Mus musculus: one gene and its partners. Each later gene encodes a partner of the first gene's protein in a complex. Links are inferred from orthologs where the notes say so. Each region holds a gene or a part of one and is shown in the gene's direction. Other genes may lie near its edges.

Evidence for each region.
Region 2: Nup160 (region 1) and Nup93 share a complex: the UniProt entries of both Homo sapiens proteins name them as parts of the nuclear pore complex. The link is inferred for Mus musculus from reciprocal best matches to the Homo sapiens genes NUP160 and NUP93.
Region 3: Nup160 (region 1) and Nup107 share a complex: the UniProt entries of both Homo sapiens proteins name them as parts of the nuclear pore complex. The link is inferred for Mus musculus from reciprocal best matches to the Homo sapiens genes NUP160 and NUP107.
Region 4: Nup160 (region 1) and Nup205 share a complex: the UniProt entries of both Homo sapiens proteins name them as parts of the nuclear pore complex. The link is inferred for Mus musculus from reciprocal best matches to the Homo sapiens genes NUP160 and NUP205.
Region 5: Nup160 (region 1) and Ranbp2 share a complex: the UniProt entries of both Homo sapiens proteins name them as parts of the nuclear pore complex. The link is inferred for Mus musculus from reciprocal best matches to the Homo sapiens genes NUP160 and RANBP2.
Region 6: Nup160 (region 1) and Cetn3 share a complex: the UniProt entries of both Homo sapiens proteins name them as parts of the nuclear pore complex. The link is inferred for Mus musculus from reciprocal best matches to the Homo sapiens genes NUP160 and CETN3.

Annotation. Positions count from the first base shown.
Region 1 is NC_000068.7:90,675,788-90,680,014, forward strand, and holds the start of Nup160 (nuclear pore complex protein Nup160), read left to right. Parts: upstream 1-1,427; 5' UTR 1,428-1,683; intron 1,684-1,726; exon of another isoform or gene 1,727-3,226; 5' UTR 3,227-3,621; coding exon 3,622-3,721; intron 3,722-3,984; coding exon 3,985-4,096; intron 4,097-4,227. UniProt on the Homo sapiens protein: Functions as a component of the nuclear pore complex (NPC). Involved in poly(A)+ RNA transport.
Region 2 is NC_000074.6:94,213,322-94,217,363, forward strand, and holds the start of Nup93 (nuclear pore complex protein Nup93), read left to right. Parts: upstream 1-1,242; 5' UTR 1,243-1,310; intron 1,311-4,042. UniProt on the Homo sapiens protein: Plays a role in the nuclear pore complex (NPC) assembly and/or maintenance. May anchor nucleoporins, but not NUP153 and TPR, to the NPC. During renal development, regulates podocyte migration and proliferation through SMAD4 signaling.
Region 3 is NC_000076.6:117,779,206-117,782,705, reverse strand, and holds part of Nup107 (nuclear pore complex protein Nup107), read left to right. Parts: intron 1-645; coding exon 646-749; intron 750-1,257; coding exon 1,258-1,385; intron 1,386-1,979; coding exon 1,980-2,028; intron 2,029-3,500. UniProt on the Homo sapiens protein: Plays a role in the nuclear pore complex (NPC) assembly and/or maintenance. Required for the assembly of peripheral proteins into the NPC. May anchor NUP62 to the NPC. Involved in nephrogenesis.
Region 4 is NC_000072.6:35,191,116-35,194,615, forward strand, and holds part of Nup205 (nuclear pore complex protein Nup205), read left to right. Parts: intron 1-758; coding exon 759-923; intron 924-3,289; coding exon 3,290-3,465; intron 3,466-3,500. UniProt on the Homo sapiens protein: Plays a role in the nuclear pore complex (NPC) assembly and/or maintenance. May anchor NUP62 and other nucleoporins, but not NUP153 and TPR, to the NPC.
Region 5 is NC_000076.6:58,449,852-58,453,351, forward strand, and holds part of Ranbp2 (E3 SUMO-protein ligase RanBP2), read left to right. Parts: intron 1-2,132; coding exon 2,133-2,200; intron 2,201-3,460; coding exon 3,461-3,500. UniProt on the Homo sapiens protein: E3 SUMO-protein ligase which facilitates SUMO1 and SUMO2 conjugation by UBE2I. Involved in transport factor (Ran-GTP, karyopherin)-mediated protein import via the F-G repeat-containing domain which acts as a docking site for substrates.
Region 6 is NC_000079.6:81,781,747-81,786,046, forward strand, and holds the start of Cetn3 (centrin-3), read left to right. Parts: upstream 1-1,500; 5' UTR 1,501-1,594; coding exon 1,595-1,611; intron 1,612-2,894; coding exon 2,895-3,030; intron 3,031-4,300. UniProt on the Homo sapiens protein: Plays a fundamental role in microtubule-organizing center structure and function. As a component of the TREX-2 complex, involved in the export of mRNAs to the cytoplasm through the nuclear pores.

The DNA of each region.
Region 1 (4,227 bases):
GGAGAAACACCTTTAATCCAGCACTCGGGAGGCAGCAGGCAGGTGGATTTCTGAGTTCGAGGCCAGCCTGGTCTACTGAGGGAGTTACAGAACAGCCAGGGCTACACAGAGAAACCCTGTCTCGAAACACAAGAAAGACAAGGTATCTGGCTGCTTAGCCTATTTTGGGGGATCATTATAACCCAGTGCCCAACATGCAATCAAGACTGAAAAAATAAGTGTGGGACAAACCAATATGCTTCCAGGAACTGGAAAGCTACTTACTATGATTAATAGAACAGCATGAAGATAAAAACCAATATTTAAAAATCTAGAGAAATAGAAAAAAATAATAAGCCCTTTGCACTGTGGCTAGATCTCAAGTCATTGCTATTATCACTTTTGAAAGTCACTGGCCAAATGACAGGAAACCACATTCCTGGAACCCCCGAAATAAAGTAATTACATTGAAAGTGCTCACTGAAAAATAACACTAATTTCCACTGAAAGAAATTATTCCACTGAATAATTCAATAATTTCCATCGAATTACCACCCAAAAAAAGTCACTAAGTTCGGGCAATGTAAAGTGTTACTGTTAACTTACTGCAATTCACCTTGAATTTACTGTAACATGAACCAAAGGTCAAAGACAGCTTGAAGCTTGGAAAACATCACATCTCAAGTTCTATTCAGCCATAAACAAGAAGAAAATCATATCGTTTGAATGAAAATGGTTACGTTGGGGATCATCATTATTATTAATAAAGGAAGGCACAAAAATGCAAAATCTAGATTTAAATATATGTATACATGACATAAAAGGGGAGGGGAGGACTATTATTTGGGAAGAGGAAGGGGAACAGTAAGAGGGAAAGGGAGGACAAGATTTGCTAACAGGTGAATGTGAACAAAGTAGGCTAAAGTACATGTATGAAAATGTCATATGATGTCCATCATTTGTAAAATGAATAATAACATTAATAAAAAAGCAAACACACACTCTAATAAAATCTTCTGCCTACGTCTGTGAGACAGGGTTTGATGTAACCTAGGCAGGCCTCACACTTACTATGTTGCTGAGACTAGCCTAGAATGCCTCCACCCTCCAAGCACCCAGGATGACAGGTGTGGGCCACTATTCCCAGCTTCATCATGGACCCCCCATCACCCTCCTTTGCCCTTCTTCCCAACTAGTTCCTCTTCCACTTTCATGTCTTTTCTATCTGTGACCCACTGGGTTTAATTAGAGTTGCTTGAATGAGCATGGGAGGGAGTCTTATTTATAGGAGCACCGGCAACTAACCAGCAAATACACCACTGGAGAAAATTACTCCTCCCTCACAGCAGCCACTGACTTTACCTACGGCTCCTCGGGGAGCGATGGGGCCTCAAAGTCCAACCCCCACCACGGAATGTTGACAGGCCCTGTCTTTTGTGTAGGTAACCACAGTTATGATCTCACGAGAGCAGCCACCATGCTGTGTCCAGGAGGCAGTGTCGTTACAGCACACCTTCCCGTTCATCTTGCATTCTTTCTGCCTTGATAGAGATTTTGAATATGTGGGGGAAATGACACTAACAACAAGTTCCCCAAAACATATCTCATTCACCTAGACCAGGCTGGCCTTAAATTCAGAGATCTACCTGCATTTGCCTCCTGTGTGCTGGGGTTCAAGATGTGTGCCACCAAGCCGCACAACAGGTAATCTTTTAAAAAAATATTTTTTAAATTGTGTGTGTGTGTGTGTGTGTGTGTGTGTGTGTGTGTGAGCTTCCCTCTCAAAAAAAAAGTCTCTGAAGCAGAGATTTACACACAGGAAGGAGCACACAGTGTGCTCACAGAACAGCATTGCTAGGGGAGTGAAGAAAGCAGGATTAGGCAGAGAAAACTGAACTGAAATTGACCAGGATGGACCTAGATGGAAGCAAGGGACCAGGACCTTAGGCTTCATCTTGATCCACTGAGATGCATCCACTGAGTGCAGACATAACTCCCTTTTTGCCAAGTACAGAAGGACAGGGGTTAGCAGGGCTCTAGGGGAGACTTTATCTTAGTGAGATTTAGAGGAGTAATTTAGTAAAAATGGAAAAATTAAAGATGCTAAAATGAGGAATAGACCGAAGGTCAAGGTAGGGAGGGTGTCTCTCTATAAGTTCAGACACAGTTCAATGTACAGAAACAGAAGCATAAGGCTATAATTGCTGGTAGGAAAATATGGTTGCAGGGCAAGTTGTCTTCTTTTGTGAGGAATGGGGACGTCAAGACAGTTTCTGTTGCCCTGGTTGTCCTGGAACTCACTCTGTAATGCAGGCTGGCCTTTAACTCACAGAAACCCACCTACCTCTGCCTCCTGAGTGCTGGGATTAAAAGCTGCTTTTTGTTTGATTTGAGCCAGGGTTTTAGGCAGCCTCAGGCTGGCCTTGATCTTGACATAAATTGGAGGATAATCTTGAACTCCTGATCTACTTGCTTCCAAAAGCTGCTGTCAGTGTGCCACTATGCCCACTCGGCCGACTTCAGAGTAAGCTAAGAATGAGTGGGGGTGAGGGCTGGAGACATGGCTCAGCGGTTAAGAGCACCGACTGCTCTTCCCAAGGTCCTGAGTTCAAATCCCAGCAACCACATGGTGGCTCACAACCATCCGTAATGAAATCTAGCGCCCTCTTCTGGTGCATCTGAAGAGAGGTGTGGGCAGTGACAATCACGAAATAGTCATTAAGGCAATAAATGGTCAAGGGAAATGCAATTGCTGGGGCAGAATTATGGAACTTCGCAATGTTGTGATTCTGATGGAGTTGCCAACGAACATGTTCAGCTGTAAGCCTGAAGTTGTAGTTTAATTTATTTACTCATTCATTTACAAAGTCTCACTATGTAGCCCCAAACTGGCTCTGAATGATCAATCTTCAACCTCCAGAGAATACTGACCGATCCCAGAAAGAAATTCACAAACAATTCCTTGCACGTTTGCAAACTGTACTGTATTTTCGATAACTTCAAGAAGGTTGGGGCATTAATATTTAATTCAACGCATCCGACCCGTGTCGCTCAGAGTGGCAAGTGTCTGTAATCCTAGTACTCCGGAGGCTGGGGCGGGAGGATCAGAGTTCGAGGCCAACCTGAGCTGACATCTCAACACATACATGTGTATGCGGGTGTGTAAAGAAAAAGTTTCGCAAAAATGCCAACACAAAGAATCCCTCCTTCCTTTTACTTTTCCTCCTTGTTTCGCTGAACGATGAAGAGGCTGGATAACAACTTACACGCCAACGCTCTAACGGAGGGGAAGGTTCCCGCAAGCTGGGAGTGTGCCCGTCAGGCCTCTTCCCCGCCCGCGCCCGCTTTTCAAAATGAAAACACGCACAGCCCCGCCCCTGCTCGAGGCCGTCGGGAAAAGGGCGCCGCCGCCGCAGCCGCCGCCCGTCTCCGGCCGCTCCGAAGTGACCGCGAGTCAAGGCATCTTCTTCCCGCCTCAGCCTCATTCTCGCGGTGAAAAGCCGCAGATGAGCCTCCGACCCGCGGTCCTCAGGCAGCCAAAATCGCGCACACACATATCCCCGCCTCGCGCCACACCCCCGGAAGTGACGAGCCGACGTGACCCGCCCTTGTCCCGTCAGGCCTCACGGCGACGGCGGGAAGATGGCGGCGGCGGGATCCCTGGAACGGAGCTTCGTGGAACTGAGCGGAGCTGAACGCGAAAGGCCCAGGCACTTTCGGGAATTCACAGTCTGCGACATTGGTACGGAAAGGGCTTGGGAGAATGGGAGCCACTGCTTTCCCTCGGGCTCCCCAAGTAGGCCTTTGGTCTCCCCTGGTGGATCCAAGTCCACATGCCTGAAGCCTGTGCATCATCACATCTTGTCCTGTGCCTGACTTCTTCCTCCCTTTTCCACTCACTATTGTATGCACTGTCAGTCCCTTGCACTCTGCTCCTCGGCACTCTTCAGTGCCTGTCATCCCCCAGAGAACCGCGCATGCAAGCCCACCACATTCATTTTGTAGGGACTGCAAGTGCCGCGTTTGGAACGGTGAAGTACAGTGAGAGCGCTGGTGGCTTCTATTATGTGGAAAGTGGCAAGTTGTTCTCCATCACCAGGAACAGGTTCATTCATTGGTAAGTGCTGCGTTTTCCCTTCCCCCTACAGAGATGGAGGGTTGTCTAATGTGTAAATATCTGTGCCTGTTCCAAGTTACTACGTCTAGCCGTAATCCTCACACAAGCAGAGAACCGGTGTCTCGTGTTCA
Region 2 (4,042 bases), on another chromosome or scaffold:
GCTGACTAGAACACTTTATCAAACAGGCATCTACCAAACTAGAATTATTAATGGTGACAACCTTGCCTAGGCCTGTGTTCACATGGTCCTCATTAGGTCAGGACGGTGACCTTCATTGAAAGATTAGACATGTTCGAGACTGTGCAATCCAAAAAGTGCCTCTTTAACGATTACAGGCTATTACGGGAGCTAAAGCAATGGCTCAGCATACTGCTCTTGCAAAGGACTTTGGGTTTGGTTCCTAGTACCCATGCCGCCTCACAACCACCTGTAATCTTACTCCGGAGATCTGATGACCTCTTTTGGCCTCCTTGAGCACCAGGACACACACACACACACACACACACACACACACACACACACACACACACTCACACACGAGTGCTTACAGTTAGCCCCACACTCTTTTACATTTGTCAAAACCTCCTCCTATCCAGGTCTCTCCTCTCAGCAGCTGCTGAGACCTGCAGCTTGCCTGTCCTGTTATTTTTCTCTCAAACTCCCAACAAAATTGTTTTCATTCAGCGCCTGTTTTCAAATTTCTTTTACCCACTAGACTAAGAACCTCCTGAAGGGTTCTTGTATATCCCAGTGACACACTTTGTTCCCAACGCGGCCACACTGAAGTAATCTCTTTTCTTTGGGTATCACCACTGCTTTTTTCTGTAATTGGCCAACGGGGCAGGTGGCCAGCCTAGCTTGCTTGTTCAGGCTGCCAAAAGACAGCCTTTTCCCTTGAGAAACTCCAAAACATGTTTTTATCTTTCACCTTTCAGTTGGAATGACACCTTTCCTGGCCATCCGACCATTTTTCTTCAATTAGTTTGCTTTTCCGTTCTTAGCTCTCCTAATTACTGCTGCATTTATTCACTATATTTTGTTTCCCTGGCCAAGCTGAGAACTGCTTGAGGTCAGGGATCTTGTCTGCTGTGGAAGTCACCGTGTTCCCTGCACCTAGAACAGGCCCAGGCACTTGACTGAAGCTCTACACCGAGTGGCCGAGCTCTCTGGGTCTGCCCAGCATTGGGAACTGCGGAAATGCTTCCTCTAGGACTGTCAACTCCAACCACGTGGGCGGGAGCAGGGCGGAGCTCCTTGACTTACTTGTAGCGACAGCCCCGCCTCCGGCCCCGCCCCGCCCCCACGCCTGTGTCCTCTTGCGGGTCTCCATAAAGTTCATTTGGCGGCGCAACGCGCAGGGGCTTCTGGGAGCTTACTGCCTCAGCCAATCAGGAGGCGCGGGCGAGCGGCGCGAGAAGCGGCGGCGGCGGCGTAGTGAAGAAGCCGGCAGCGGGCGGCGACGGAGGCAGGTAAGGTGTGTGAGGTGTGGGCGCCCACGCGGCCCCGAGCCGACCCTGGGCCCGAGTTCGGGGCCTGGCCTTGAAGCAGAACACCGAGCCTAGTTCGAAGAGGCTCGTGCTTCCTCTCTTGCTGTAGCTGGGCATGCCGGCCGGCGACTGCTCGCCGAGTGCTGTGACTAGGCTCTTCCGAGCGTGGTCCTCCCCACTGGTGCTCTGTCGCCACGCCCACCCACGGCTGCCAGGCGTCACCCGGCCTGACTGCCCTCTTTGGGGCGTGGGGGCCGTTCTTCTAGAGAATGGCTCTTCCGGGTGAAGGGGCGGCCAGCGAACCCCTGTCAACTTTAATCTCCTTTTACGGAGAATCCGACAGGATGCTAATGATTGCCGCTTCGGTTGTCTCACCTGTTTCTGGGTACCCTGTATCCTGTCTTCTGTAAGGGATGCCCAAGTATATTGGGTCCCTTCTGAAAGAAAATCACAGCATGGGCGGCATGGTGTCGCTTTCAAAGCGAGTTGAAGCCAGCCTGATCTACATTAGACCCTGCCCCACCCCTACCCCCCTAGATGACTTTCAGTACAAGCAAAGGTCAGCGCTTTAGTAATAATAACAGTAATACTAATCATAGAAATAACAACAACAATAGTAATATAAGCTCCCTGTAGTGAGCTGTAAGGCTTTTAAATAACGTGACCCATACTTTCAATGTCTGTTACACCCCACATTCTCTCCCCACCCCCAACACCACCGCAGGACATGCTTTGACTTAAGGGCTTTGTTCTTGTGGTTGGATGTCTGTTTTGTCTGCTCTCTTTCTTGGAGTCTTCACTAGGGCCATTAGAATCTAAGCCTTTCCTCACTCTTCTTGTCTTCACTGCTTTTTTTTTTTCCCCTAAGCATTTAGGTTTTATTTGTCCTATGTATTGTTTGTCCTTCCCCGACCCCTGTAGAACATGAGTGCCTACCTAGTACTTAAGTTTGGTACACAATAAAGTAGGTGCTCAATAAATATCAAATAAATGAATGTTACTGATATTATAGGCTTGTGGTGAATGAGACAGGCTTCTTTCTTGGGAAGACATCACACACATAAGCAATAAACATAAATATTAAAACCATGAGACTTGAACTGTTGGAGCTGTGGTGAACTTGGGTTCTTCTCCCTCCCTCCCTCCCTCCCTCCCTCCCTCCCTCCTCTCTTCCTCTCATTTGTGTGTTCTTGTGTGTCTTTTATGTATGTGGATATTTCTGTGGAGGCCAGAAGAGAGTGTCTGATTCCTTGGAGCTAGAGTTACAGACAGCTGTAAATCACTGATGTGGGTGCTGGGACCTGGGCTGGCGTCCTCTACAGAGCTGTAGATTTTCTTAACTGCTGAGCCATCTCTCTTACCCCTGAGCCTATAAGGTAGATGCATTTTGAGGTGTTTGTGTGTGTGTCAGAGTAAAGATCAGGAGGAGGTCCCAACTCTGTTATGGTCACTAGTCATTTTAATTAGCAAACATGTTTTTAGTTCTATTATGTGCCAGGCTTAGGTCAATGCTCAGGATTCAGAGTTAAATATCTGTGAACCTTCCTCTACGGGAAGAGATGTTTGAGAAGTGGTCACAATTGCTCCGCTAGGGAAGAATGCCTAGAAGGTTCAGAATAAGTAGGGAGGGCCTTCTCTGTCTGTGGTGGGGATGCTTGTGTGCTTGACAGGTACAGGAGCGGGAAGGGAAGAAACTGCCAGGCTTCCTGAGGAGCAGAGATGTGTCAGGGTACAACTGAAGAAGGAGGGAAGAGTTGAAGGTGGTGCATGGCGCTGTCTGTTTTACAGAGCACCTCATGCAACCATGTCACAAACTGAGGTTGAGGTGCCCCAACTGGTCTAAAGTGGGAGATATTTTGGAATGGCCACTTTGGCCACAGGGAGAGTGTGTTAGAAGAAATGGGAAGTTTTAGACTGTTGAGGTAATCGGGAGGAAGGCATGAAGGTCAGAGCAGAGGGGAACGGTGAGGGCATGACTTGTCATGAGCTTTGAGAAGTAAACTTGGTTATAGGCTAGTCTCAGGGGAGAGGGGAGCCAGATGGTTTCTGGCTAAATTGACTGTTGTGGGGACCCAAGGTGAGGAACTAGAATTGTTGCTGGCATCCATAGATCAGTCAGGAGTAGCTATCAGATAGACAACTAGAAATAATTGGTTTGGAGAAAGAATTGGATGGAATTTAGAGATGCAACAGTCTTTTTTTTTTCTCTCTTATAGTATGGCCACTTATAGCTATCTCCCCTTTGTTTCAAACAACCTAAAGCTTGAAATGTTTTGTAGCTTTATGTTTGATGTATACGTGTGTGTGTGTGTGTGTGTGTGTGTGTGTGTGTCTGTGTGTGTGTGTGGTGAGATGCATGCCCATATATGTTTGGATGTGTGTGTGTGGGGGGGTGAGATGCTGCCCATATGTGTTTGGATGTGTGTGTGTGTGGGGGTGAGATGCATGCCCACATGTGCTTGGATGTGTGTGTGTGTGTGGGGGGGGGGGGTGAGATGCATACCCACATGTGTGTGTGTGTGTGTGTGTGTGTGTGTGTGTGGTGAGATGCATGCCCATATGTGTTTGGATGTGTGTGTGTGAGATGCATGCCCATATGTGTTTGGATGTGTGTGTGTGTGTGTGTGTGGTGAGATGCATGCCCATATGTGTTTGGGTGTGTGTGTGGGGGGGGTGAGATGCATGCCCATATGTGTTTGGATGTGTGTGTGTGT
Region 3 (3,500 bases), on another chromosome or scaffold:
CACATGCATTCAGTCCCAGCACTCAGCAGGCAGAAGCAGAGGCAGACCTCTGAGTTTGAGGTCTCAGAGTGACTGGTAGATAGAGAAAGTTCGAGGCCAGCCAAAGCCATCTTGTAAGCCTCCCAAAAAGTGTGTGTGTGTGTGTGTGTGTGTGTGTGTGTGTGTGTGTGTGTGTGTGTGTGAAAGAGAGAGAGATTGAGAGATTGAGAGATTCACATTTGAACATACTGAGGCCCCTAGCACAGTAGCACACTTCTGTAATCCCACATTTTAGAGGTGGAGGCAGGAGTAAAGGTTTTTAAAAAATGTACTGTGTGTGGTACTTTGCCTGGATGTGTAGACGTGCACCATGTGAGTGCCTGGTGCTCTTGGTGTGCAGAAGGAGCCATCAGCTTTCCTAGAACTGGAGTGATGGTGGGTGGTTGTGAGCTTTTGTGTGGTGTGGGTACTGGGAACCAAACCTGGCTCCTCTACAAGAGCATTGTGCTCTTGACCACTGAGCCAACTGTCTCTCCAAGTCACTAGTTCTTACAAATACAGTTATGGAAGGAGGGAAAGATGTGTAGTCACCTTGGTGGCTTTGGTGCAATAGAATGTGTTAGTGTATGGAACTGACGTGGTGCTCCCTTGCTCCCTGTGTTTTAGCATCCATGAGCATGTTCTCTGATTTCCTGCACTCTTTCTTGAAGCACTCTTCAACCACAGTCTTTGATCTCGTAGAAGAATATGAAAATATTTGTGGTAGTCAGGTAAGTGAATTCTGTCCTATGTTTGGTCAGCTTAAGTGCTTGGAGTTTTCTTGTCTCTTTGGAGAAAAAAAGAAATCTGCTCCTTAGAAAAGAAAGTCTGAGGCTAGAGAGACAGCTTAGTGAGAAAACGTCTGAGTCTGCGAGCATGGGGGCCTGAGTTCAGATTCCCCGCACACCAGGGCCATGGCTGTGGGGGCAGCAGGGCAGATCCAGGAGGCCATCCCTGACAGGAGTGACAGACGCACCCTTACTGCGAGATGCCGATAGTGAGGGAGGGCGTCCGTGCGGATGTGGGAGCAGGAATGGTGGGTTCTCTAGCTTTCATTCAGTTTTGCAGTGAACCTAAAAGTGCTATTTATAAAGCAAGGAACAGAACTTCAGAAAATGGTCATGTGTGAGAATAAGCGGAATATTGGCTTGGGAAGCAGCCAAGCAAATAAAGTGTTAGCCACACAGGCAACTGAGAGTGGTAGGCAAGCAGCCTCTTATGTCTGTGTTCTTCCCGTAGGTGAATATCCTCAGTAAAATAGTGAGCCGCGCAACGCCTGGACTGCAGAAGTTTTCCAAGACGGCCAGTATGCTCTGGCTTCTCCAACAGGAGATGGTCACATGGAGGCTGCTCGCCTCTTTGTACAGGTAACTTTCTGTAGAGCTCACAACTCCTAAGTGAGACGAACAGAAGCTAATAAGCCAGTTCGGCAGATGAATTCAGTGTTAATGAGGGGTAGCCTCAGCATAGGTTTGCTGATCTTGGGATTTATCATTCCTAATACTTGAGGTGTGGAGAGTATGTTATGAGGAAGAGGGGCCATCAGGTCATAAAACTGGGAGCTACAAACTTACCAGTCCATAGCCAGACAAAGCACAACACCCGTGTGATCCCAGGAGGCCTAGGCGAGCCTGGGCTCCAGAAAGTAAGGGAAGAAAGAGACCTGGTGGTTTGGGGTTTTATTATGCAATACTGAAAGATTTGCTTAATTATGCTATATGAAAAGGTACGTTCCTTTGGGGGTGCCTTCAGGCTACAGTAGTGGTTGCCCTTTGTGCTCGGGTCTTGGTACTGGAGTGATGATGTAGTTACTGCTTACTTCCTTCATTAAAGGTGATGATGGAGCCCACTGCATCTCATTGGTTTCTACGCCGTCACACCACAGAGTGTGGGACAGCTTACCAGGTGGCTTCATGCATTTGTGTAAAGTAAAGCTTTTTCATTTGTGTTCTTTTCCCCAGAGACAGAATACAGTCTTCATTAGAAGAGGAAAATATGTTTGCAATTGCTGTAAGTTTTCTATGAATTTTTTCCGTCACAGGTTTTTTCCATTACGCTTTACAGATTTGATTTTTCAACCCTCCATTTGCATTTCCCCATTAAAAAAGATTTACAAGTACAGAGATGATGTTCAAAGTAATCAAATGTTTATAGTTATGGGTAAAAGTTCTTTTTATCCCTCAAATTATTTAACGTAATAACTTGGATTAACATCCTATCAGATGTTTTCTGTGTATTTTTATACATACACACATAATCAAATTACTCTTGAGTCATTTGTTCTGTTTTTCTTTTCCCTTTTTTGAGACAGGGTGTGGTTTTTGTAGTCCAGATGGCCTCAAAGTCACCACCCTTCTGTCTCCCCATCTTGAGTGCTGAGATTATAGATATACGCCATCACACCACACATCTTATATTGGTTTTATTTATTTATTTACTATTGGGCATTTTCTGAGAGTCTCCTGAAGTATAAACTGGCCTCTGAAGTATAAACTGGCCTAGACCTGTCTGTCGGGTCAGAACTGCCGGGATTATGAGGGAGCAGACGGCACCCAGTCAGGCCTCATGAATGCCAGGCATCTCTGCCAGCTGCGCCACATCCCAGCACATGGCTTTTTGTTTTGCTTTTTAAAGATTCATTAGTAATAAATCTGTATGTCAGCAATAGTAATTTTATATGGGGTTATCTTTTTTCCTGTCCCCCTAACCTCTTATTGTTATGTGTATGTGAAGATATAATTGCATCTTAACTGTTATAGACTATTTTACTTCTCTATTTTGGAGGCAACTGTCTCATTTTAATATGTAAATTCTTGGTTACTGTTAAGAAAGGAAGTTTGTTTGCTGACAGTTGGAAGGAGACTGGAAACGGTCAGTGGTCTTTTGGGGTTTTGTTTCTTTTAGCTTCTGTTAACAACTTTCTGTAGTTTATCGTCATCGTGGATTGTAATGATAGCTTTCCTAATACTACATTATTTCTGTAAAGATGGGCCATGTGGTATTCCTATATGTACTTCTTGATTTTATTAGGCACACTATTTAAGACTTTAAGGTCTGTGGTATATTTCTATAGCATCCTCATATAATCTTCATCTATAGGATTATGCAAGTTCTTCAGAACAAGTTCAAGAAAAAAGGGTTGGTTTTTTTTGGTATATGTTTTTTGTTGAAGAATGTGCACATTAATTTGTTCACTGAAGGATGAGCAAAACTGTCTGTGACAGCAATGCCTTCAAGGAGTCAGGCTGCTGCTGGCTCTCTCCTACCCCAGAGACACCCCAGCCCCTCCCTGGTTTTGGTTTTAGTTTCTGAAATAAGGTCTAGTGTAGGCACAGCTCCAAATTTTATCACTTTATGAAAGTGTTTTACCAGCATATATGTCTGTGTACCACGTGTGTGCCTGAGAATTCCCTGGAACTAGAGTTCCGGTGGACAGTTAGGAGCCCCCGTGTGGGTGGATGATGGAAATCAACCTCATGTCC
Region 4 (3,500 bases), on another chromosome or scaffold:
ATACCTGAGGCCCTAAGTTTGCTTTCTAATAGCAACGACAGCAAACTCTGTCTTTGTTTTTTGTTTTGTTTTGTTTTGTTTTGTTTTGTTTTGTTTTGTTTTGTTTTGTGTTTGAGTGAGAGGTTCTCTGTTTAGCCCTAGCTGTCCTAGAACTTACTGTGTTGATCAGGCTGGCCTCGAACTTCAGGGATCTGCCCACCTCTGCTCCCCCAGTGCTGGGCTTAAGGCGTGCGCCCCCTGTGCTCAGCTTTGTTCCTGTGCAGGTGGTTTCCTGAAATGACGGTGTTACACGGTAGAAAGCAATGTGGTCACGCGTGCACGTGCCTGCCTTTGCTGCAGCTGCCTGCTTTGTTCCTTACTCACATTTGTAAAACTTGTGAAACACAGATTCTTTACTTCTCTTTGACATAGTTTTTGTGTATGAGAAGTAGGTGACTCATTTTATCTTTAGAGAGCATTTATTTATATTTTAGAATTCCTGTATAGAAAAAACAGTGAGTGCTTCTTTTTCTAATTTCTGCTGTCTATGAAACTTATTGGAAGTTGTTAACTGAAATTTAGGGTTGTTGTTTTTAGTTTTTATGCATATAATACTTTAACAGCAATACAGATATTTTGTTATATCAAATAATGATGTTAATTAGTCATCATTCCTTTTGAAAATGCTGTGTTTATGACTTTTAGATATCCATGTGTGACGGATGTGAGAATTTATTTCTGCTCTTTTTTGGTGAAGTGATGTAATTTTGTGTTTTCAGATATGATTCACCACCTTCCACTGTTGACAGAGAGACAGTACGTTTCGACAATTCACTCTCGCCTCCAGGACTCTCAGCCTTGGAAGCTTCCTGGACTGCAGGCCACTGTTAGGCTTGCCTGGGCCCTGGCGTTGAGGGGGATATCCCAGCTACCGGATGTAACAGGTAAGGAAGGAAGGTTGGAGAGAACTGGCTCTGCCACTGTACCTAGCGATGCATTGATTTTCTTCCTTTAAAAGTTTTTAGGTGACTTATTTTATGTGCGAGTGTTTTGCCTGCATATATGTCTGTATTCCACATGTGTGTCTAACATTACCTGAGATCCAAGAATTCCCTGGAGTTAGGAATGGTTTCTAGTTATCATGTGGATGTGGGGAATGGAGCCTGGGTTTTTTTGAGGAACAACATCCAGGGCTCTTAACCACTGAGCCATCTTTCCAGCTCTAAATGCGTTTGTTTTCAAATATCAAATTTTAAATCAGAAAGAGAAAGTGTAAATATGAGCACGTGAAAATACAAGTTGTTTGATAAAAATTTGTGTTAGCACTTTTCATTCCAGCACTCAGGATGTAGGCGGATCTCTATAGTTTGGGGCCAGCCTAGTCTACGTCGAGCTCCAGGCAGGCAGGGTTGCATAGAGAGACTGTCTCAAAAACAACAATAACACACCCCTCATAACTTTGTAAAGTAGAACTGAGATGCACCTTATTTGCTGTCTCAGAAGAGAACCTCAGAGGTTACCTCCTTTTGTGAATCTAGTGAGAGGTCTTTACCTTCAGTGTAGGAGTTGAGAAGAGTGAGACTCCCACAGAGTCATACCTATCCTTTTTCTTTTTTGTGGTACTGATGATTGACCTTAGAGCCTTCTAAATATGTGCTAAGGGAGGAGGGTTCTGCCACTGAGCTACGGTTCTAGTTCTTTCTTTTTTAAACAGGGTCTCATGTATCCCAGGCTGGCCCCAAACTATGTAGCTAAAGGTGCCCTGGAGCTTCTCATTCTCCTGGCTTTACCTCTAAAGTGCTGGGATTATTAAATGTGTGCCACCACTTAAATTTTTGTTTACAAACTTTTTCACATTGTATCAAACTGAAGATCTAGTTTTTTAAACTCAGTGTGTTGGAAAGGAGATGTTTGGATCAATCAAGCATAGATAGGTGTGATGCTTTGAATGAATATGCTTGGCCTAGGATGTGGCACTATTAGAAGGTGTGGCCTTATTGGAGTGGGTGTGTCCTTGTTGGAGGAAGTAGGTCACTGTGGGGGTGGGCAATGAGACCATCCTCCTAACCACGTGGGAGCAAGTATTAGCTGCCTTCAGAACAAGAGGTAGAATTTTCAGCTCCTCCAGCATCGTGCCTGGACACTACCATGCTCTCTTTGATAATGGACTGAATCTCTGAACCTGTAAGCCAGCCCCAATGAAATGTTGTCCTTTTAAGAGTTGTCGTGGTCATGGTGTCTGTTCACAGCAATGAAACCCTAGCTAAGACAATAGGGCCATTTACTTAATCCTGTTCTACACAGGGCAAGCTATTCTGTTGTCTAGATTCGTGAAATGATGCTTAGAATGGTTTGCTTTACCAGCTGTCCTTTCATTGTAATTTGAAATACAAAGGCTTTTTCACTTCTCTAGGTTTGCGTAAGATGAGGTTCAAGGGAGGAAGAGTTTATTTTGGCTCCCATGGCTTGTGGGGGTTTGTCATGGCAGATAGAGCTCAGAAGGAGTATAAGAAGTGATGGCATGAATCTGCAGTCAGGAAGCAGGAAGATAATATGGTGTTGCGCTAGTTTGCGATCTTTTTTTCCTCTTTAAATTCAGCCTAGGGCCTTAGCCTATGGTGTGAAACAATCATATTCAAGGTGAGTCTTTCCTCAAGTAAACCTCTCTAGAAGGTGGGGCTCTTAGTATTTGGGATGCAGAGGCAGGAGGATCTCTTGAGTTGAAGACCAACCTAATCTATAAAGTGAGTTCCAGGCTAGCCAGGGCTACACAGTTGAGACCCTGCCTCAATAAAACCAACCCAAACAAAGTCAAAACAATAACAAGAAAACCTTTGGAAATGTCTGTGATTAAAGCTCCTATATTGTTTTTGCATGCTATGTTTGTATAAGAGCTCTCTGTCTATATCAGTGTTAACATTGCATTGATTAGCAAGTCACTTATGGGAAGAGCCAGTGCTCTTACAATTGTTTTGCTTTGTTTGAGACAAGGTCCACTATGTAGTCCTGGCTAGCCTGCAGCTTGCTACAAAGACCAGGCTGGCCTCAAACTCAGCACTCTGCTTCCTGAGTGCTGGGGCTAAAGGCATACATCACCATATCCAGCTACATTTGTATTTCAAATGTACTCTTTTAGTAGTTCTTTGGAGTTTGTGAATCAATTACAATTATATATAATTTCATTTTGTGCATAGCACCTGTTAGGAGGCTGGAAAAATGTCTGAAATATGCTTCACTAACATTCTGTCATGAGATACAAGCTGAGTTAAAGGCTTTTCTCATTTTGCTTTTCTGTGTTCTGAATCTGTAGCCCTGGCTGAGTTCACAGAAGCAGATGAAGCAATTGCAGAGCTGGCCATTGCTGATAATGTCTTCCTGTTCCTCAGCGAGGCTGTTGTGCTGGCTGAAAACTTCTATCAGGAAGAGTTTTACATCCGCAGAATCCACAGTCTTATCACAGACTTCCTTGCATTTATGCCAATGAAAGTAAGTATGGAAGTGTAGGAAGAGCTTTGTGAAAG
Region 5 (3,500 bases), on another chromosome or scaffold:
TATATGTGTATGCTCACGTGTGTAGAAGTTAAAGGTAAGTTTGCTGCAGTTGGTTCTCTTCTGCCATGTGAGGCCTAGGGATGGGATTTAGGTCTTTAGGCTTAATGCCAGGTACATTTACTCACTGAAGCCACGTTGTCAGTCCTAATTATATTTAGTCTTTAAAAAAAATTTAAATTTATTTTTATGTGTGTAGGTGTACTGCCTACATGTATGTCTATGTATCTTTGTGTGTGCTTGTGCCTAAGGAGGCCAGAAGAATGTATCAGATCCCCTGCAGCCCCAGTTATCTTAAATATTATGTTCATATAGTTTACAAATTTATAGTAGCGATATATCTCCTCTACTTGTCCTAGTGAACTTGCAAAAGCACCTCTAGTCAGATATATACATTGATTGTATATTGTAATATTGTTTTTGAATAACTAAAGCTAATACTGAATTACAAGTTTGTCTGACTTAGCTAAAAATTGAAGGGGCTGGAGAGATGGCTTAGAGGCTAAGAGCACTTACTACTCTTGCAAAAGACACTGGTTTAGTTCTCAGGACCCACATGGTGGCTCATAATTTGAGTTCCAGGGGATACAACACTAATTTCTGACCTCCTCCAGCATCACACAGGTATGTGGTGTACACAACCTACATGCAGACAAGTAAATTGGATAAACAAACTGTTAAAAAAAATTGAAAGTAAATACAACTTGCTATTGTCATGTCATGTTCAATTTTCAAATATAATCTTGTAAATCATTTGTAAAGTTGGGTAGCAGAAAGAGGTATTAATAAATTAAGACTGCAATACATAAAAGATACATACTAATGCATAGTAGCTCATAACCGTAATCCCAGTTCATTTGCAGCCTGGGCTGTAGTGGCATTTCAGGTCAGTTTGTGCTAGAGCTAGAAGATGGCTTCAAAACAGAACCAGATTCTGTTACACGTGAACATTTGGTTCTTTCCAAAATATGGAGAAAGGGATTGGTTTGTTTAATGGGTGGGTTATCTAGTAGGTATTGCTTGAAAATTGATGGTTGGTTTTAGAAACAAAGGCTCCAGTGTATACTACTTGGAAAAATAGGTGTTATATTTCAAAATAATTTTAGAGAAACTGAAAGAATAGGGATGAAAATTTTACGAATCTCAAGTGAGAATAGCTTTTCTTAGCATATTACCACTAAAGTAAATAGCAAAAAAACCAATTTCATTGCTTAAGAAATCAGTCTTGCTTGAGCTGGGCGGTGGTGGTGCACGCCTTTAATCCCAGCACTCGGGAGGCAGAGGCAGGTGGATTTCTGAGTTCGAGGCCAGCCTGGTCTACAGAGTGAGTTCCAGGACAGCCAGGGCTATACAGAGAAACCCTGTCTCAAAAAACAAAAAACAAGCAAATAAAAAAACAACAAAAACCTAAACCAAAACAAAATACCAAATTTTATTTTAGCCTTGTGTAAAATGCTGGTCTGTAAAGAAAATAGTACGTTGACCAGGGAATTTCTAGTACCTTAATGGTTCTGAAATGCTTTCCCAAGGAGACTTCTTACACATGGTAGGAAAAGAGTGATTTCTAGTATATGTCTCTTTCCCCAGACAAGTTGTTTTCTGTGTACTTCTCTGTAGAGTGATGCCAGTGAGTCAGTACAAAACATGCTGGGTAATACTTGGTGGGTAATACATAAAACATGCTGGGTAATACTTGGTGGGTAATACATAAAACATGCTGGGTAATACATGGCCAAGCATCCCTAGCCAGTCAGAATGAGTGAAGCTGTGTGTGTGTCTGACTGTGTCTGTGTCTCTGTCTGTCTGTAAGCTCAGGCTGGTTTTGAGTTTAGGATGGCTTTGAACTCATGATCTTTTTGCTTCTATTTCCTGAGTGCTTAGGAGTACAGATATGAATTACTTTACATGCCTTGAAATGTAGCTTCTGATGTCTGTTTTAACTATCCTTGAATTTATTTTTTATGATAGAAATTATAATATTTGGGACCATTAACTTTTAAAACACTAGGCAGCATTTTTTACCTTTTATATAAAAAAAATAGTATTAAACTTGTTAGGGTATTTTTTTTGGTACTTTGAAAAAAATGCAATATTTGAAAATGTGAACAGTAAAACCACTCAACTCTCTTTTTTAGAAGTCAATGAAAGGATTCTATTTTGCAAAGCTGTACTATGAAGCTAAAGAATATGATCTTGCTAAAAAGTAAGTACCAAACTGGAAATGTTTTAATTTTTCATCCTTGTAATAGGAAAAACTGCTAAAGAACACATTTTTTCTTTCAAGTGTATTCTGGAATCAGGAATTAACTGCTCTCAGACAATAGTTAGATTGAGCCTCTAACAAGTATTTCTTACTGCTTTCTGTTTATATCTAGTGCAGAAGTTACTTGGTTTAAAACACTTTTTCTAAAATTGCTCTCGGGTAGGATGAAAGAGATCATTCCTGTTTGTCAATTTCTTCTTGGTTAGCTATCTGGTGCTTCAGGTGGCTGGAGATAAGCAACAGACACAGACTCAGTGCTAACAGTTGAGCAGTTGCTGTCTTGTCAGTAAGGCAAGAGACTTGCTGAGTCTCATTTCCTTACTCAGAGTAGCCTAGAGGTGGAAGTTACACTGGAGGCAGATTATGAAAGCAGTGATAGGAAGAGGAGGGCACTTGGTAGTGAGAAAGGCTGCATGTAACCTTGGTTTTAAAAGGATAGTTCTTTAATACCACACTTAGTTACTTATCTCTCTGATGAATTTTATGTATGACATAATGTATTTATGTATAATTTTCTTGTTTAGACACGATTCTCTTAGTTTGGGAAACTTTAGTGTTTTACATATTTTCACTTTAAAATTTTATTGTTTGTAGATGATAATCATTTTGATTATCTTATGTGAAATTCTTCAATGCTTTACTAAGTGTAATCAGGAAGAAAAAGCATTTTATGTGTTCATTTCTGGTAGGTAGCGGTGGAAAAATATTTGAGGAATATAGCACTTTGTAGTAAAATGAGGGTCAGGAGAGGTGGCTTAGTGGTTAGGAGTGCTCAGAGGCTCTTGCAGAGGAAGTGGGGACTTCCTAACACCTGTAACTTGAGCTCCAGGAGACCTGGTGCCACCTTCTGGTCTCCTTGGGCACCAGGCACCATTGTGGCACAAATACTTTTATGCTAGCACTTAGATACACATAAAATAAGTGTCTAAATCGTGAATTAAATAGTAAAATGTGTAAACATGTTATTAGCTCTGTATGGTTATTAGTTACTTTGAAATGAATATTTTTAAACTCTATGTTAAATAAGTAATGGTAGCCAGTAATTGAGCTACAATAAAATAATTGGATGGTTGCTTGGTTTAGGCTGTAATCTACTATCAGTATTTCAGTCTAGTTGCAAGTATTTTTATTTTAAATTATTTTAATGTACATACTAGGTACAGTATATGTTTAATTTGTTATTTTTGTATTTTAAAACAGATACATTTCTACGTATATTAATGTGCAAGAGAGAGACCCT
Region 6 (4,300 bases), on another chromosome or scaffold:
AACATCTCCATGTAAATGGTTTATTTTCACCTTTATTTAATACTTTTCTTCTTAGGCTTGGTTTTACAATCTTAAAATTTTAGTAGTTTTTTTTTTCACTAGTGTTCTTTAGTATACATATGACGTAATCTAATTTCCTTTTTTTGTTTGTTTGTTTGTTTTTTCGAGACAAGGTTTCTCTGTGTAGCCCTGGCTGCCCTGGAACTCACTCTGTAGACCAGGCTGGCCTCGAACTCAGAAATTCACCTGCCTCTGCCTCCCAAGTGCTGAGATTAAAGGCGTGAGCCACCACTGCTTGGCCTAATTTCCTTTTAAACTTGTTAGTAAAAGTACTTAATTTTTATATTTTAGGCAGGGTCTACTACTAGTCCTGGCTGGCCTGCAATTCACAATGTAAAGAATTCAAAGATCTGCTTACATGTCTCTTGGGTGCTGGGATTAAACATGTGTAGCACCATGCCCAGTTGAGTTCTTCAACATTTTTCTACTTTGGTTTTGGGAGTGCTATCATTTAGCTATTACTTTTTAGCTTTATCCCAATCCTTTACTTGTCCAAATTCCTATCTACACTCTAGCTTAACTCATGCATAGCCAATTACACAGCGTCCTTCGTTCACATATAAGCTTACATACAGTATTTGCCGTTTCTAATTCCTAGCCCCAGTTTATTGTATTTATACCGATAAGCACTGCAGGTTAGCTCAGTAGTTTCCAAGTTTTCCACAATAATACCTCATTTTATGCATCAAATATTTATGGAGCACCTAAGTTCCAGATATTTTGTTTGGTACAAATACTCGTGTAAACAGAACCCTGGCCTTGAAGACAGTCAGTCTCGCTCGCAGTCTGATGATCTAAGTAAACTTTAAGAGGCTTGGTGGGCAGTGAAGATAAGACGCACATAAACACTTTATAGCACTAGAAAATGAGAAGCAGAAGCAAGCACACATTTCCAATCGCACAGAAGAAAAGGGTGGTTTGGCTAGTCTCATTGTAAATGACCTAACAAAACAGCAAAACGAGAAGCCTAATCCATAATCCAGCCTGCCTTAAAATCACTTGGGAGATGTACGGGGGAGAACGCTTAGCTTGGTCCTCACTGAACTAAGAATAAAGAATGTCGCCTTTAGATTTAAGTTTCTCAGGTGCACCGGCCACCTAAAATTGTACATCTTTTCGCAGACCTGGTTCCCCAATAAACTGCTCCCTCGTTCTGAGCAGGCTGCTTGGGCTGGCCTTTTCCCTTCCCTCGGTCGACGCCGTGCATGTCACGCGTGGGGCCTCGCCTTGCCTGCCTGAGTCTCGCGTGGTGACTCTAATACGCGCGCAAGGGAGTCGGGAAAGAACCTGGCCAATCCAGGGAGCCAGACTGACAACCAGGGCCAAAAAATGTGTACTTGATTGACATGAATGCTGACCAATGAAAAAAGAAGAGCAGCGACGCTTCCGCCCCAATAGGCCGGCTGTTGGCAATTTCAGCCAATCGCGCCCAGAAACTTGTCTGGTGGGTGGTCCCCGAGGCGTGGAGGTTGGTGGCTGTTGAGCGGTTCCCGTGGTAAAGTCCCCGAGTGGAACATCTCTGTCGGAAGAGAGAATGAGTTTAGCTCTGAGGTCGGTAACGAGGAGGCCGTGCCTCCGTCCCCCCAGAGGGCCAGGGCGGGTGTGGACGGGAGACCGGGTCGGGGGCGGGTGCCCAGCGCCGAGCACCAGACCTCGGCGGTTCCCGCCTCCGGGCACCGCCGCAGCCCGAGTGAAGTCTCGCGAGGTTTCCCTCACGCGACTGCGGGACTCAGCCCTGGTTGCCTGATTCCCCCTGGAAAGTCGCAGGAGCGCTCGCCTTTCTCCCCGGGCCCCGAGGCACGCTGTGCTCTAGGCGTCTCGGGTGGAGCTCGTTTCCGTGACACCGTCCTTTCACTTCCGTCCATCCCTCCCCTCATTGGCTCCTCACCTTGCCCATCTACAGTTAAAGGTGCCCCGGGCGGGCCGCGCCGCGCCGCCCCTTTGGCTCCGCAGGGTGACGAAGGAGGCGGGAGCTGGCGTGGGGGTGTGGCGAGTGGGGGCAGCCGGGGTCACGTGGGCCACTGGGCCGGCGTCCCTGAGCCCGACGGCGTCCAGACGTAAATAGCGCGAGCAGTTAGTTAGCCGAGTTTCAAGGGTTTGAGGTTTAAAGCTTCCATCTTTTAGAACGTGCGGATACACGTGCTGTATCCTCGTTTACACATTTGGACCGCTTTTTGCATTGGCAGCTTTTGAAGGCAGACATTTTCAGATCCAAGTGCCCTTTTTAGATTTTTCTTTAAGCTTCTCCAGAGTTTTAAGACGTTTAACCTATCGTTTACATGTTAAGTGAGAGTTAAAACACTTTTAAACATCACGTAGACTTAAGCACGACTATTAGATGCTGTGATTTTTTTTTTTTTTTTTTTTTGGTGTCTAGTATTTGAATGTTTAGACCCTTTTATATTTTGCCTGGCTAATATCAGTGGAATAAAACCACAAAGCAGTGTTACAAATGTATAATCTAAAAACATTTTGAGCTTACAGTGCAAAAGTAATCTTTTAAGTTTTATGGTTGTTTTTTTGTAGTAATTGTGAGAATTTATAAGCTGTCCAAAATCAAGTCTATTCTGGTTGATTGTTTTGTTCTTTATTTTTGGTAGATGACATTGTTTTGTTCTTTATTTTTGGTAGATGACATGAATAATATGTATGGTGTTTTCGGTGCTTTTGACTTTGTTTAGGATTTCTCTTATAAAAGTACATTTGACTACAGGACATTGATTTAGGGGCAGTTCCTTTATTTGCCAGGCTACTCTGCTTTGTTAAAATTTAGAAAATGAATCTTTGTCCTAAGATGGGTTAAAGTGGCCTAAAGACATTTTTCTGTGTCCTAGAGGTGAGCTTGTAGTAGACAAAACAAAAAGGAAAAAACGAAGAGAGCTCTCTGAAGAACAGAAGCAAGAAATTAAAGATGCTTTTGAGCTGTTTGATACCGACAAAGACCAAGCCATAGATTATCATGAATTAAAGGTAACAGGGGACTTTTAAGACCCATTTTTGTTTAACTCAATTGCATTTGTGACTGTTGCTTTAAAGTCTATTTTAGAAGCTTGTCTCGGAACTGTGAGGCTGTTTGTAGTGCCCACCCACAGGTGGTACAAGAAAACAGTACAAACAGAATATGGCTTGTAGAACCTTGTATTTAAGTGCGTAATGATGGAAAGTGTAACTTCTCCATTCACCCAGTTAAAGGGAGAGTCCTTAGCATGCTCTTCCCACTGCTGTTTTCCTCTGTGGGATGGTATATAGCTCAGCTTTTTAAAACACGATGTTTGTGGCCTATGCTTGTTGCTTGTGCAGACCTGTACATTCCATGTGTATCATGTGCAGTGTAGAGTACGGCCTTGTGTGCCTTCCAACACTGTTGCCTTGAGACAGACTGTCTCATTGAATTGGAAGTTCAGTACTTCTGAACTAGGTTGGCTAGAGAGTGAACTCTGGGGTCACTCCAATCAACACACCTCTGTCACTGGCACCTGCAGCCAGGCCTGTCTTTTTACATGAGTGCTGGGGATTTGAACTCTGGTCCTCAAGATTGCAGGGCGAGGAGCACTCTTACTCACTGAGCTATCTCTGTAGTGCAACCTAAAAAGTTTTGAGATGGAGAGATAGTTGCCTTTGCTCAGACATTTCTGAGATTGAGCTTTTAATTTTTAAAATAGTACTAACACACTCTTAGTGTGCTCGTCTCTGTTACAAAGGATATAAATTGTCTGATGCCTAATGTTGCTATGTGCTGAGGGAAAATACCCAATTTAAGGATTAAAATTACGAGTAAAGATCGAGGGGGAAATTTGTTATGAACACATTTCTTATGTTCAACCCAGTGAGAAAGATAACATTTGATATCTTAAATGTTAACTGTAGTTTTAAATTGGGCAACATTGTAGGTGATTTTTAAGCATTTCAAGTAGGGGTAGATAGAAACTGAGGTGAGAGGATAGACTATCTGAAAGTATTACAGGCCTGAAGCTGGGGCCTCAATATTGAGGCCCTCTGTTCGCTCCTTCCCCATCCCACTTGTGTCTTGCTGCCGCTCCCTCCCGTGCAGTCTGAGTCCGTCCTGTACAGTGTCTCGCCATTTGTTGGCATTGACTGTTTCGGTTTGGGACTTGGTTTCACAGCTCGAGCTTCCTCCTTTTCTATTCGTCTTTACACTACCCTTACATATCTATCTTTCTTGAATTCTTTGACCATGTTGTTAGCTCATAAGCCTTTCCTGGCTTCCTCTGCGTTTGTT